2 linked regions of the Arabidopsis thaliana genome follow. The protein of the gene in region 2 interacts with the protein of the main gene of each other region in a pairwise test. Each region holds a gene or a part of one and is shown on either strand. Other genes may lie near its edges.

Region 1 (7,842 bases), on a different chromosome or scaffold from region 2:
ACACAATTCAATTACTTAAGAGAGAACACACACCAAAAATGAAACAGTGAAACAAATATGAACAGTGTAAAAAGTTACTAATTAAGCAAGAACACACACATTCACTTAATAAACTATGAGACTATTCACACTCAATTACGGAAATAAGAACCTAGCAAATTTCTCACTCCACACTATCAGGTTCAAGCACAAGTAAAGTCAAAGGTGTTTTTTTTTTTTTTTTTTTTTTGCAGAATCCTTCTATAAAATCTAGTCCCGAGTCTATAGCCGACAAATCAGTTTACCATCATGATGTGAAAATCCAAAAAACAAGGGTAGAAATCAAATCTTTTACCTTTTAGAAACTTGTCTTTTTCTTGAAAATGTTCATTATGGTTATTGTCTTCTCTTTGAGTGCAGGAAGAATTCTCCAAACCTTGTGCTTATGGTTACCTAAACCCTAATTACATTCTAGTAGAAAGTGAAATTGATCAATGGAGAGAGAGAAAAGAGATAAGGGTGGAAAAAGGTGTCCTTTCATCTTATTCCTGAGTAGAAATGTTTTTAGCTGTTAAGGGCTCAAGGCAATGGCACTATGGAACTTCGCCGTTACACTTAGGTCGGAGTACTCTCAAATTTTGGTATATCTGCTATATGATCCGACTCTAATCCTTAAGAGTATTAAAATTAATTATCTATATTTAATTTGGAAAAATAAATACCTGATAAAAATTAGTCGATTTGCTGAATAACCGATAAAAATAAATCGATTTGTTGACTACCTGACATATTATATTTATCCATATTACTACATTTAGTTGATATCTAAAATTATACTATTAGAAATTCAAGTCTCCTAAATGTTTCTTAAGACCATCTTCATTGAAGATGCCCTAAATATAAAAGAAAAAATAGAGATCTATATTTTAGAGATAAAAATAGAAATTGGTTAGAATGAAATAGAAATAAAAATAGAGTATAAAGTTAAAAATAAAAATGAGTTGAAAATGCTATAAAATGCAATTATCACTTTTAATATGTTTCATTTTTTATTATTACTTTTTTTTTTTTTGTGAACTCATTATTTATTATTATCTTACTTTAATTTTTCTCACATAGTAAGCCAATTTTATTCCACGCATGTGGTGGACAAAGGAGTCAACTTCTCCTAGTGGGCCAAAGAGCGTGGGTCGAACATCAAGCCATTGGCTATAAGAAAAGTTATATTACTTTCTGTTGTTTTTGTCGGACTTCTTTTTCTGTTTTATTACTATAGTTGCATGCGTTTTATTAAAGTTCTTTCTTTTTTCAGGTTAATATTAGGGTTGATTTACTCAATAACCATATTAGATACAAGATTCACAATCAAGAAAAGAATATAACACTATATTTATAAAATAAATCAAAATTGTAGGTAATCACCTTCTTCATTTGTGTATTTACGAAGTGCACTTTGACAAGCATCCCACAAATTTTATATGAAATACAAATTTCCTAAAATTCATTTTTTATTTTGATCCTTTTACTAGAAAGCCACGTACGTAACCTAATCTCGTACACACATTTCTTACTTCTTTTAGATAAAGACACACTCACACACATTTCTTTCTTCCCTTCAATCTATATATACATTTTTGCAACCATTTTGTGAAATAAATCCTCAAGTTGGAACTTATTTACAAAGAATGCCATTGGCATTAATTATCATCAATTAATTAATATTCTTAATTATTAGCATTTCCTTATCTAATATATCTCCATCAATTCTAATTACTTTTAAAAAAAAGAAATTTTAGGACTTTATTAATATTATATTTTATTAAAGATAAATATTATAGTTATTTAAAGTTTATAAAATATTTAGAATATTTAACGAAAAAACGTTAAGAATATATATTATATATGAAATCTATAAAATTAAATAACTATTTCAAAAGAACACTTTTAAATTGATTTGAATTATAAATCTTTTAATAAAAATATTATTAGAACAAAAAGTAATAATGTTTAATTTTACCGAACTGGATTAGATGGTGGGACATGTTTACAATATTATAATGTATGGATTTTATAACAATTAAATAACCATTTGAAATAAATTTTTAAATTAATTTAAATTATAGATCTTTTAAATTAAAGTATTATTTAAACAAAAATAACAGAAACAAAATGTTTAATTTCACTGAACGTGGTTAGATGGTAGGACGGGTTTTGGGTCGACAGTAATACGAGACGGTATAGCACGGGTGAAATCCATTAGATATGTTTAGTTTCACTGAACGGGATTAGATGGTAGGACGGGTTTGAGTCGATAGTAATACGAAACGGTATACCACGTGTGAAGTCCTAAATATAACAATCAAAATATAATTATATTATCTTAAATACTAAACAAAACAATTATAAAATAAAAATATAATTAAATTTTAAATTATTTAGTTATAATCTAGATTTTAACTTAATGAACTGTACGTTATTGTTCTTATATTTTAAACAGTAAAAGTTAAACATAGTAATTGTATACTAAATAATATACAGATATAAGAGTTGTATATTCAGAAAATACAAAATATTAAATCATATATTTTTAATCGACTAAACAAATTATATTTTTATTCTTAAAAAAACAAAATAGTCTCGCGGTGTACCGCGGGTTAAAACCTAGTTATTACATTAAAAGTGTAAACTACTTTACATCGATGTCAGCATATGCATCATTTTTTTTAGCTCGTATCTTTAAATTCTTATTACATTGACATAGATGCTTAAATACTTCATTAAGGGAATATTATACGATTAGATTATTAGTTAACGTAAGTAGGTACGCATCTACGTTCTTCTTCCCCCACAGCCATTCTCCCTCTGGCAGTTGAAGTAAGAGGCAGCCACAGGAAGACCAAGATTGTAGATCTCAGCAAACTCACGAGTGTTGAACTGTTGGCGCCACCCCGGTGCATAAACCGTTTGTCTTCCGAGTTGCCGGAACAATACCAACACAATACGATGAATTCCCGAGGGGGGACGTGGACTCTCGTAGCACACCACCTCATTGCCTGATAAACAATCATAAACACAAATATTAATTAGCCCTTCCTAATTTGTCCACTAGGTAAGTGTTTTGTGTCGCTTATTTTATATAGATTAAAGATTTGATTGTTGCAACATACATATAAATTAAGAAGGCTATATAAAAATAGATATCTTCTTAAGAATATATATGCTCCATGCTAACACTATTCAAAGCCTAAGCTTGGTGATATGAGTTTTATCTATCTTACCTAATGTATCTATACAGAGTTACTTAAACTTACCAAAGGCATTTCCAGTGGTGGCAGGTATATCAGTCACCAACCTGTAACGAGAGTATTATCCATTAAAGTTAAAGATATGGTGCAGTGCAACCTGCAGATAGTTAACTAAATTCGACTAAAAAACAAAGCATGCATCAAAGTTTTTGAAAGTTTCGTCTAAAGCATGTAGAAAAGGTCAGACTATGAAGAATAGACGTTTGTTGCGTGCAAGCTATGATATAACATGACACACACACACACTAAAACAAAAACTAACTCTGACCACAAAGTCATGTTCTATTCCTGTTTAAAGTCTCTATGTTGGATGTATACGTAAGACATCTTTTTTCTTGACAAGTTGCTGCTCTCTTAAAGTTGATTCTGTATGTCCCCTTCTATTATTAGTAAAAATCTAAAATATCGTTTTTTGTGTGTCACTTGAGATATGTATTGAATCTCTAAATTTTAAAGTCTTTTTCTAATTCCCATATATACCTTACCTATTTGTTTTCTATTTATACTCGAAAATAAGTGTGATGCACGATCTAAAGTTAAGTTAAATGAAATGAAGAGATATGATACAAACCAGTGGAGATATTCTCGTTGGTGAGGGTTGCTTGGACTCGGCACATCTGGATCCACCATAACCTTTATTAAACCCATCAACAACCGTATAAGAGAGAAGATCGATTATGAATATATTAAAGCAATCAAGAAATTAAATCATGAGTTTGATTTTTTTTTTTTAACTCTTGAAAAGTGATAACACACATTAAGACGAAGAAGTTAACCAAAAGTTAATAGAAAAAGAAGTAAAGACGAAGAAGCTTAAATTAGAAAAAGGTAATAGTAACATTTTCCATTAATATAAGGGTATCTAAAAATACTGGCTTTACTATTCAGATTCAAAAGTCGTTAAAATAAGTGTCAATTAAGATATTTATGCTTTTCTAAAGGTATGTATCCTAGAATAAAAAAACTAAAATAAAAATAAAAGCGAAACAAAATCAAGTTAACCGTCTCTTGAAAACGTAATATATATAATCGAGAAAGATTCAAAATTGATTTAAAATAATAATCAAACCAATAACAGTTATGCATGCAAGAAGTTAGAGGAAACGCAGCAGGTATATAGATGAGGCTACGAAAGAAAAGAATGATCAAATCTAGTTACGCTTAAATTTGGATATATCTAAGGTTTCTTCGTCAATATATGGAGCTTACGAAAACGAAAGAGTGAGCTACGAGGAACTAAATCAATGAAGATAAGAGGAATGAAGGAGAGAAGATCACCAAGGTGTAGAAATTTCTGAAGTCGTCTCCTCCAATCTCCACTATTGGTTTGTTCAGAACTTGAGAAGGCCTTAGATCCAAGCCATTAGTAACCTCTCTATGGCCATAAGTGACCTTAAGAGAGACCAACCTCGTGAAAGGATCAAGAACATCTCCAACAACACTGCCGACCACAAGAGGATCTCTACGACTTAAAGACATATTTATCTTGGATCTCAAGTATCTCAATCAAATGTTTTGCTTCTTACCTTATGAACCCTTACTTGCTATTCTTTATATAACGTTTTGGGAATTGCAATAATTAGCTATTTAGCTTTATTCTCTCCAATGAAATCATTACCAGGGTCTTTTCGTGTATAGTTTCGAGAATCTACAACTCGTTCAACGTACGTATATCACTTATAATTCATGTTTTTTTTTTCTTTCCTTTTTTCTAAATTTATAGTATTCTTATTCCAAAACCCACCAGTATAAAACAGAAATAATCATATTCCAAATTATACATCATCCACTTGTTTCTTGCTAGCCACTAGTATGTAATTTATTCTGACTTATCATTGTAACTTCATGAACTATTTAAAATAATGTCACAAGCATATAATATGCTGCATATTTGCGTACGTCACGCATTTTGCGTCACATGTCACTCATTTAAATAGTTAAGGACACTACATTACACCGATTATGTATGATGTTAATGCATTTTAGAATAACTCCTTCAACCTAAACCATCATATAAAAGTATATATGCTCCAGATAAATTGACGCCATAATTGTTCACATATCTGGTTGGTGTGTACATACGTACTAGACTCTTTTTTTTCTTTTCTTAATGTAGTACTAAACTTAATTAATACCATCAAAAATATCAATTTAACAAAACAAACCAGTAAAACTTTTAAAACAATGGAGTAAATCAAATAAAACAAGTAAATTAACAAATAGACACAAGGTAACAGAAGTATAATAACGACAGAAAAGTGAACAATTGGCCAAAAAATTCGTTTTCAAACGTGATTTCAAAATTGTCTCCAAATCTTAAATGTTGATAAAGTAATTTTTTTAAAATTCATTATACCTTTCAAAAACAAGTGTATTACCTAAAAGCTCAACCGTGTATTCTTACACTCCAAACAAATTTAGTTCCCCAAGTTTGGAAGACAAAAATTTCTAAGAAATTTCTGACAAAACACATGAGAAATAAACCGATAAAGACTTCTAAAAACTATTGCAGACCAGTTTCATTTGCTGACCACAAAAAGTCATGAGAATACAATTAGCTCAGTGATTCTTGATATTTCTGGTACCTAACAAAAAGAAAAGTGTGTGAGGTTAGATGGCTATGATTTTTGCTCTCCAATTTATTGTCCATTTCCCCAATTTGTAATATGAAATGCGCAAATTACTCTTCTTCCGATATGAATAAGCAAACGAAAACATACGTGGGACGTTATGTTCAGAACATTTGATTAAAGTTTATATGCGATTTTCATTTATTTATTATGAATTTTTTGTTTGGCAGCATGTACGATTTTTCATTTAACACACAAATATTATAGAATTTTCATTGGTTCAAAGGGGTAGACAAAAAATAATTTAATATTATTACACCATTTGCAGAAAATTAGAAAATATATTTTTACCCATAATTAATTGATCTATGGACGTATGCTTGGCATAAAAATTCATATTTAATTAGCAGAAGCCAATCGCTGCGTTTGTATATACGCGTTTATGACCGAGAAAAAAACCCTTACGCGTCATGTAAAAAAAAAAGAAGCGTAAATTACGAAAAACAGAGAGATAAATCCGGGCATTGAGATTTTGGAGATAGAGAGAGAGAAAAATCGAAATCTATTGTCTATCTCCTCAATTTGGATTGGATTTTCTGCATATCATCGCTCTAGCTTTCGCGGGTTTTGGATTCGATTCCTTACCCTTCTCCAATCGGTAAGAACAAGCTCCAAAGTTTGTTCCTTTTTTTCAATTTTCGCCAATTCTGTAATCTCATCATTGTCCTTGTTTGTTTGTTTGATTCAACACACAATTCTTGTTTTGATTTGGATGCAGAAGTTTTTGGCTTTGAATTGGATTTGGGTTTCGTTCCAAAATCAGCTCTTTTTGTTAATCAGGTGAGTTTTTAGGTATTTGAATCTCCAATTGCTTCCTTGCAATGACTAAGTATTGTGAAATGTTTAGGGTTTCATCTGTGTGGGTCTTGTTTTGAAGCAATTTGTGTGTGTTTGGATGAAAGTAGCAGATATGCAGGACCAGCTGGTGTGTCATGGTTGTAGGAATTTATTGATGTATCCTAGAGGAGCATCTAATGTGCGTTGTGCGTTATGTAACACTATCAACATGGTTCCTCCTCCTCCTCCACCTCACGGTATCGATTTCTTTGTTGAATTTGAATTGAGGATGAGGTTAATATGCTCTGCAATTGTATTATAACTTGGGTTCTGATTCTGAATACAGACATGGCACACATTATATGTGGTGGTTGTAGAACAATGCTTATGTATACGCGTGGGGCTAGTAGCGTAAGATGCTCTTGCTGTCAAACTACGAACCTTGTGCCAGGTATATTAATAATATCGTGACATCCATATCAATCCTTTTAAAGACCATGTATTATATTGCTTTATAAGGTCTTTTAGTCCTTTAGAATCTTCTTTCACACTTTTGTTTGATAACATTGTTCTGTGGAGATGATGCTTACGTAACGTATTTCCACTTTTCCCAAAGATGTATATGAATCTGAATTCTGAAAATATCTGGGATTTGTAAAGCAGCTGAAAGTACTTAAAACAAAGCTTTTAGATGGTCCCGGTGGACTAGGTAACTACTTGTTAGAGCTAGTAGGGTTTATTATTGTTTTGTTTGATCTACCATTAGATTCTTATCTTTAATTAGCGTCTAAGCTGTTGTCATTTAGCTGTATGATTATCATTTATCCATGACTGCTTAAGAACATTGCTGATTACTTCGTTCATTAGTATTTCTTGGATTTTTCTAGCATTAACATTGCTTGTTTTCTGAATCTGTGCGTGTCTTTTTTGAAATCGACAGCGCACTCCAATCAGGTTGCCCATGCTCCTTCCAGTCAGGTTGCGCAGATCAATTGTGGGCATTGTCGGACGACCCTCATGTATCCTTACGGTGCATCATCCGTCAAATGCGCTGTTTGTCAATTCGTAACTAACGTTAATGTGATTATTCCTATCTATTAAGCCACCTCTGCATGGTTGAGTTAAGTATAGAGATCTTTCTGTTGGAAATT
Region 2 (8,377 bases):
GGGCATCTAATTTAAATATATAGGGTTTGAAAAAAAGGCAAGGTCGGGTAATTAATTTGGCTGTTTTTGGGTCTCATTAATTCTCTATATATCTATGTCTGGATCTGCTGCATCTCTATCTAACAAGTACATTTGTGGTCGGATTCTTTTGGTTTTTGTAATAATTAACAGTCAAAGCTCTTGTTTCTCATAACTAACCCAGATTTAGGGTTTTTTTTTTTTCCTCTGGTAACAGATCTCCTTTAGTTTACTTTCTTCTAACTTTGTTCGGGTTTGATTACCGTTTTTGCAGATTAGTAAACTTCTTTAAAATTGAGGAAAAGAAACTTGCAGATCTGTGTTCGGTTCTTGCTTTGTTTCTTCTTCTTCTCTTTTTTTTTTTCTCGATAAGAAAATTAGTCACCTTTTAAGTTCTTCCAGTTTGTCCCTTTTCTGGTTTGTTTTCTGTACTCTAAATTAAAAGAGACATTATTTAACTAATTTGGGTTTTCATTTGATTTTGGCATTTTCTTCTTCTTTTAGTTATCACCGCAGATTATTATTATTATTTATTTTATTTTAAATTCTAAAATATGTTTAATCTTTGAAACCTTGACAAATGTAGGCATGTGGCCTCTTTATCTATCTACTTTAACTTTCTGTTGTTCTTCTAAGTTGTCACATAGTTGATTTTGTTTTTCTTTTTCTGCGAGAATAACCGTGGTTTAGGAATCCTCTGACTGTCACTCTCTTTATAGTTCAATCACATTTTCTACCTTACTAGTGCTTTGCTTATTTGGAAACCATCATACCAAGTCACTAGATATATTCAAAGTTAGCTCATATCGTTGATAAAATTAATCGTTTCAAAAAAGAATTCGACCTGATCGAGTCAAAGACAATTGGATTCTCATTGTGTTTTCATGTTTGGGATTGCCTTGCACATGACTTCATAGAAACATAAGCATACGTTTTTGTCGACTTATTGATAAAATCCAAACATATTAGACCGGTGTATCAAAAAAGTTATGTTATGAAGTTGTTGATAATTTTTATTATAGAAATATTGTTTCCTTTCTTTTTCTTTGTGTACTTGTTCATTTTTCTCTTTCTCAAATGTCTCTTTATTCTTTTAACTTACTTTTGTCATTTCAATGATCTCAATGTCATTGAAGTAGTTTTTACATTTTCCATATATATTCCTTCCTAATATTTGGACACTTCGTGTTTGGGACTTCTTTAATCCCTTACTGCGCTATAATCTCTTCCTCCAGTACTTAATTAATTGTCTAGGAACTAGTACAATCAAATCAAACTTCACATTAAAAACAAAACACTAAATTAATCCTCCCCACATTGTCTTTTATGTTTGGGGCTAAGATGTAATATTAATGGATCCATGTATATCATCATGTGTGTTTGCAAATTAACTAAGACACAATTCAAACATCTTGACTCAACTTTTATAAAGCATTGTAATTCAAATTATAATTTCTAGTTTAGTTACTTTAATAATTATGTCATCCATAGAGGCTCAATTTTTTTATTGATAACCAAAAAAGTTCCATAATAGCTCTTATGTATCAAGTTTCCACATCTGATATTAGTATATATATATATTACAGTCAATGTCTTAGTATCAGATGCCTATATAAAATTTTAATTCTGATAAATAACGAAACTTTATGAGGCTGTAGATGAATTTTACTAGATATTTTAGTAGTTTTTTTTTTCTAGTTTTTTTTTTTCTAGTGATATGGACGCATGTGTGCGTTCTTAGGAGCAAACGCCAAATCATAGACCAAAGAAAAAGTTGGGAACCAAGGTAGCTAATATAGGAAAACAAACATAATGAGATTTTCACAAAAAAGAGGTTTCATAAGAGAACTGTGAAAATATGCATTTTGTAAATTTATCATAGAAAAAAGTTTTTTTCATAAAAATCATAAAGACACAACTATTATTTTAATTGGAAAATGGCTTAATGCTTAAAAAAAATTAATGTCTTATATTCACAAAACCTTTTTAAATTTCTCTTTATGCAAATTAACTTTAACATAATATATATATATATATATATATATATATGTACACATATATTTATGTATATTTCAAGGGTAGAATATACCGGCATGTGTGGTCTGAAGCTCACAGTTGTGTAATTTTGGATGATTTGACATTTTCCCACGCCGGTCTACAACAACAACGACCACCCAAGGTTTGATAGCAACCTATTATAGCATAAATGTGGAATACAAACTACAAAGACCAACAGCTTAATTAGTGCAACATATCATCAGGTTTCATAACTTTTAACCCCTTGTAGGATCTATCTAGAAGTACTGTATATAATTTTAATTTGTTTATAATAATTAATATTTATCATGGAAACTCTAGTTAGGGAACATGATATACCAAACTGAGTAAACCAAACTCTCCAAATTAAGTAACTCAAACTTATCACAATAGAGAAGTAACTTACTACTCCCAAGACATTTCGATTTATTAGAGCAGAACTTATCATTGGTTAAGGGAAAAAGCAAATAGCTTCACATCAGTTATAAAAAATATATTTGAAAATGATAAAGTTTCCACGTAATATATTACACAAATTACGCATATATGAACTTGTCTGTATACAATGTACGTTAACCCACTTATACATAGATCACAAGCCTAGTGATACCCGATACGTTTGTCGATCGCATTTAACTTAATAGGCTTGAAAGGTTTTGAATTGCCTGATTACTAGAACTGACGTCCAGGTCTCAGAAGGAATATAGATTGAGAATGTATTGAATCATGAATCTTAACTTATATAATTTTGTCATCAGTTTGTCACGTTTCCTTTTGTTTTTGTCATTTGTTGTATTCCTAAAAGCAAACGATAGACAAACTTAACAACACAGAGATAATATTAACAAACAACGTTTAAAGGATACATATCAGTTAAAAATCCACTCGAACTATGAAAACAAAATATTATACAAATTGCATTAATTTCTTCACATAGGTTTAATATTTGACACTAAAATGACGAAAAAGCCTTCATATAAACATGATTAATTACGATGTTAAGAAAAAAAAACATAAGATGGATTAACATATCTCTCTCACCAAACTATATATCATTAATTTGAGATATTAATGTTAAATGAAATCAGTTTCAATACATGTTTTGATAGTTGTGCATGAGGTCTCTTGGTTTCGCGCCGAAGGAGTAATGAAGATCCGTAAACTGATGCTGCTGCAAGGTACATAGCCCCAAAAAAAAAAAAATCGATGAAAATTTGAACAATAAAAACCATAATAGTATAACCAAGTCAGTTAAAAAAAACCGGCGCCTTTGAATCGCTGATGTGGAACTAGATAGTAATAACCAAGTACCAATCCACAAAACACAAAAACTAACTTCTAATTAAACTATATATAGCATTAATTAATCGATGGTGGTGCATTAGTGTCATTGAATTTGATATACCCTACCTCTAAAACTTGAATTAACTGTGTATAGCTTTAGATAAAACCATTGGAAAAAAACTCATAAAAATTATAAATGTGACTCGTAGATATAAATAAGGTACCTCAATGGAATTAGCTGCTCCTTGGCTGCGATGGTGGTTAATCACTGGGAATGATGAGTTCGGTTTGTAGTTGACTAAGTCATAAGATTCATTTGAAATGTGATCTTTCTTATTCATGATAAATTCGTTGCAAACTGCAAAACGATCGTTCTTGCAAAGTTCTTCGATCTTGTCTTCGCAGTGTGTCATCTCAAAAGAACTCCGATTCACTTGGCTTCTATTATTATTCTTTATTATCTCACCATGATCATGAGCGTCTTCTTCCACAACTTTCACTAATTGTGATCTTCCTTTCATCTTCATCATCATTTTCTCCATTGTTCTACCCTTTGCTCTTTCTCTAGCTTTCGCTCTCTCCTCCTTGGACAACTTCTTTAAAATGGGCGTTCGCGGTTCTGGCCTCTTTCTCTTCCCTCTCATCGATCTCCCATCGACCTTGTTTCCTCTTGTTTCTAATGTATAAGATAATTTATCTTTTGTAACATTTTGATAGAAAGTACTCTATATATAATTGTAAATCAGAAAGGCAACGGTTAAGGTCGTACCGGTCGTGTTAGTATTGCTGCCTCTATCGTCGACCGTCCACATGGATGCAAGTTCACATAGATCAGAAGATGTGTCCATGGATCCTAACACCGGTCCTTAATTAATTAGGAAATTTACAATTTTCAGATTATGATATAAAAAAATTCATAGAAGTTGAAAACTTGAATAGACTTAAAACTAGAAAAGAATGGATACTTACGGATATGAGACTCATCGCCGCTGCTGAAGCAGCCATGGTGAGAAAGGGTTGTCGCGATCTTTATGATCTCAGGTTTTGCTTGTGTAAGCAACCATTCAACGGTTTTGCTGGCTTTGTCAAATCCAAGCATGTCTTGTAAGCCAAACAACTCTTTGGCGACATCTAGCGAGAGTCTCATCCTACGATCTCGTGTCCCTTTGGCCGTTTTGATCTTGCTGTGCCTGTCCGTTCTGCTGGGTTTCTTGGCTTTTTTCATTTTTGGGTCTTGAGAAGTTGAGATTCTCTGGGAATCTTCTATAAGGTTTATAGTTTCCGAGGGCTCAGTGGGTTGTTCTACAATGGTGTTGTTCAAGGGAAAGTGAAGTGATGGATGATGATTGTCGTTTGGGATGGTTTGGTTATCATCATGGCCATTGTTTTCTGGGTGGAAAGAGGTGAGGAGGGCGCAGTCCGGGGCAAATTCGAAGTGAGAAAAAGGAGAAGGTTGTTGGAATTGATGATGATGGTCAAGATGATTGTTTGATGTGTTAGAGGTGGAGTGAATCAAGATGTCGTTAATGGAAGAAGAAGGGCTAAAAGGGAGCAATGGTTGTGAGGAATAATGGTCATTATAAGGGAATAACATGTAGTCGTCATTGATGGTGGTAGTAGTACTGAAAATGTTGTTGTTCATGCCTTTTTAGGGGTTTTTGAAGTAACAAAATTAAAAAACCCTAAGACAAAATTTTGAGAATGACACTTGTACTATAATCTTCTTCAGACACACAAGAAAAAAGAGAAGAAAATGAAAGAAAGTTTGAATCAAAGAGAAAGGTTACTGTTCCAATGACGAAGACATTGATCTCAAGTCTCAACCAAAATGAAAACAAGAAAATTAGAAAGAGAGATTTCTTTTTTTCCTTAGCCTGCAAAATCAAGAAAAAAAAAGAGCAGTAATAGTGATTAGTCAGATAGTACAATATGTCTTTGTTCTAGAGAATCTATGTGTGTGTCTAAATGTGTAGAGAGAGAATACCTTTATCGAAGCAAAGGACTAATGGTTGAGAAAGACAACACAGGCGACGTACTTAAATGAGTCTATGTGCTATGAACTAGAATGGAGAGAAAGAGAGAGAAAAAGAGAGAGAGAGGGAGAGCTATATGGAGAGAGAGGCAAAGAGATCATTATGGGGGAAGGAACAACATATAAGCCTTTGAAAAAGCATTTATTTTGTTTATATATTTTTCTTAATTCCTAGCTTCGGCATGATAAAAATATATTCGTTTTTGTTTTTTGTGAAAATGTGATAATAGATGTTCGTTTTATTTGATTATCAAGATTTTTTTCTATAATTAGGACCTTGTGTTTGTTTATGTTCTTATATTTCTTTGAGATAGTTCATTACTAATATGTAGATAAGAACTCAGTATAATTATTTGATAGATATTAAATTGTTGACAGCTATATTTCAACTAATCAAAGATTGTATATATCTTTAAAATTAATAGCATGCACTAAAAGATGCCTAAAAATAGTTAATTCAATATAAAATATTTCACTGTATTTACTATAGAATATATGTTATAACTTTAGGATTTAGCTAGAATAATTAATATTACAGTTTCTTGACAGAACATATATTTACCAATTACATTAACATTTCACTTTAAATAAACAGATCTTTATTTAAATTATTGAAATGACATTTAAAATTTAGTTAGATAGATTTTTCCACATTGATTATATTTTTTAATATTTTTAGTAGATAAAGATCAAGGTATAACTAAATGAAAGAAATAAAAGGTAATGAGATTTAATTTCACCCAAAAATAGACATATAAATGTATGTTTGCATATTAAGAAGATCAAAATAAAAAGTTGAATAGAAATAAATATGAGATAAAATTAAGGATAAATTTTATTATTAGTTATGCCTTTATTTGGAAAAGGATTAATAGAAGAAAAGTTAGAAGATTTTAGATTATGTCTAAAGGAAATAGGAACAAGGAATATATAATTAAAATATATATAAAATATTGATTTGCATTTCACCGTAAGAAAGAACTAAGGTCAAATAAAATTATAAAGTTTTGTTTGGTGGTATTTTTCAAAACACTATAAACAACTTTTTCATATTTTTAAAGAGTATTTTGGTGTAATTCTTATGACTTCATATGTACACTAACTATTGATATATTGCATTTGTTCAGATAACAATTTTTGTATCTCTATCTAATAATTTTTATACATAGGACACAAATATTGTTATTCCAAAACTTCTATCCATTCTTAAGTCCAAATCTTTTATTTGTTGTTTCATAAATAAAAAACTTATACTAGATCAAAAAAAATATTTGACAAAAAAATCTTATATTAGATAATCTATCGAACTGAATGGGTTGTAAAAACTGAATCATCAATCATGGCGATCCCTCAAGAAAACCATACAGATCAGTAATATTTTTTAATTCCATTTTCTTGTGCCAACTTTTAGGTTTAAATACATTTATTTATTGTTGTAAAATATTATTAATTGTATTTTAAAGTATAAAATATGAATTCTTATATTATAATATATATATATATATATATATTATTGAGAATATCAAATAAATTTAAACACTGTTATAACAATTTATATCCATCATGGATGTTTCTCAAAATTAAGTATAGACATAGATGATTGTTCTAAATTGATTGTTATGCAACATCCTCTTCTGTAAATTATTAGTAAAAAAGGGTAGCTCCTTTTTCTTACGTAGACTTATTGGAATCCAATTGAGTTCAAATAGCAAAACTGACGAACGCATTGGACGAATTTCTCTTCTCTTCTTTTACCAAAAAAAAAAAAAAGAATTTCTCTTCTTTTTTTTTATGTAAAGAAACAAAAAACATCTCTTTGTTTTCATATTTGTGATACAAAACTTGAAAACAAGATCAAAACTCGGATTGGAATTTTTGGTCTCATATCACAAAATCCTTCTTCCTAGCTCTAAGACATTGATTTTCATGATATGGAGAAAATAATCTTTTTGCTATAGGAGAGTTAAAATACAAAGTTTCATTTTCAAATTGGAGGAATGCACGTGGCTGTGTGAAGCCCTAAGAAAAGAAGGCTGCAATAATTTTAGGAAGAAAAGAAAAAAGCTTTGCCTCTCTGTTCAGTATTGCATGACCGACCAATCTTTTATTTTCTTTTGACTCTCTCTCTCACACACACACTCTCTCATACTTATGTTATAACTTAGAAGTCGCTTTCGCTAAAAAGAGAACCTCTTTTCTCTCTCGTGCTTATCTTGTAAGCTTTTGTATCATTATTTTCCCTTGTATTTTTGTGAAAAAAACATATTTTAGAAATATCTCTTCGCTTAAAAGCAATATTAGAAGTTAGAAGTTAATACGGTTAACGGTCGTTAAGAGTTTATTAATTAGGTAGTTATGTTGACCTTGTCAGCTGTGTTAAGTGATGTGATGCATGTTTTTAGAAATAACTAACAAGAGATAAAAGTCACTAATCCACATCTATATACATGCACGTAGGTAAAGTACAAACTTAGGAGTTACGTGCAAAGATGAAACACTATCATTGTAAATAAAAACTCCTATTTTGGTCATCCATTGTTATCCACTCTTTCCATTTATACATGCCGCCTTCTCCGCCTAATTATCCACCACATCCCATGCTCTTTCTTCTTTATCTCTCTTCCCTCTCTCTCTATCTCTAGGCCTGCAATTATCAGGAGGACCACATGACTATAATGGTTGGACTCGCTGGCTTCTTCTAAGGTTGCTTTCAGTTCTTCTTTCTAATAACCCATGAAGAAGACAACAACATATATCATATCACCAATTTTGAGTTTGTTTCTTTTAATAACAATTTTAAGTTGTTTATTAGTGAGAATCAAAATTTAAGTTTCAATCTTTGGTTAGTCTTTCAATCTTTTTTTTTTTCCTTACAAAAGTTTGGCATTGATGCCCTGAGTGCTTTCATTATGTGTTATATTATCTATCTATTGCCAAAGTTGTTGGTTACAAATCTCAGTCACTCATTATCATCATTCTCAAAGTACAAAATTTATTTTTACTTTG

The links.
Region 1: the proteins of BRC1 (region 2) and TSF interact in a two-hybrid assay, tested with the Arabidopsis thaliana proteins (one study listed by BioGRID).

Annotation. Positions count from the first base shown.
Region 1 is NC_003075.7:10,998,203-11,006,044, forward strand, and holds TSF (PEBP (phosphatidylethanolamine-binding protein) family protein), read right to left. Parts: upstream 4,809-7,842; 5' UTR 4,764-4,808; coding exon 4,563-4,763; intron 3,918-4,562; coding exon 3,856-3,917; intron 3,332-3,855; coding exon 3,291-3,331; intron 3,033-3,290; coding exon 2,809-3,032; 3' UTR 2,569-2,808; downstream 1-2,568. Other genes in the region: LSD1 zinc finger family protein, read left to right, coding at 6,825-6,948, 7,038-7,142, 7,228-7,259, 7,355-7,400, 7,632-7,771. UniProt on the Arabidopsis thaliana protein: May form complexes with phosphorylated ligands by interfering with kinases and their effectors.
Region 2 is NC_003074.8:6,380,373-6,388,749, reverse strand, and holds BRC1 (TCP family transcription factor), read right to left. Parts: upstream 5,462-8,377; 5' UTR 5,324-5,461; intron 5,243-5,323; exon of another isoform or gene 5,214-5,242; 5' UTR 4,982-5,213; coding exon 4,309-4,981; intron 4,205-4,308; coding exon 4,109-4,204; intron 4,016-4,108; coding exon 3,480-4,015; 3' UTR 3,227-3,479; coding exon of another isoform or gene 3,146-3,226; 3' UTR 2,935-3,145; downstream 1-2,934. UniProt on the Arabidopsis thaliana protein: Transcription factor that prevents axillary bud outgrowth and delays early axillary bud development. Indirectly required for the auxin-induced control of apical dominance.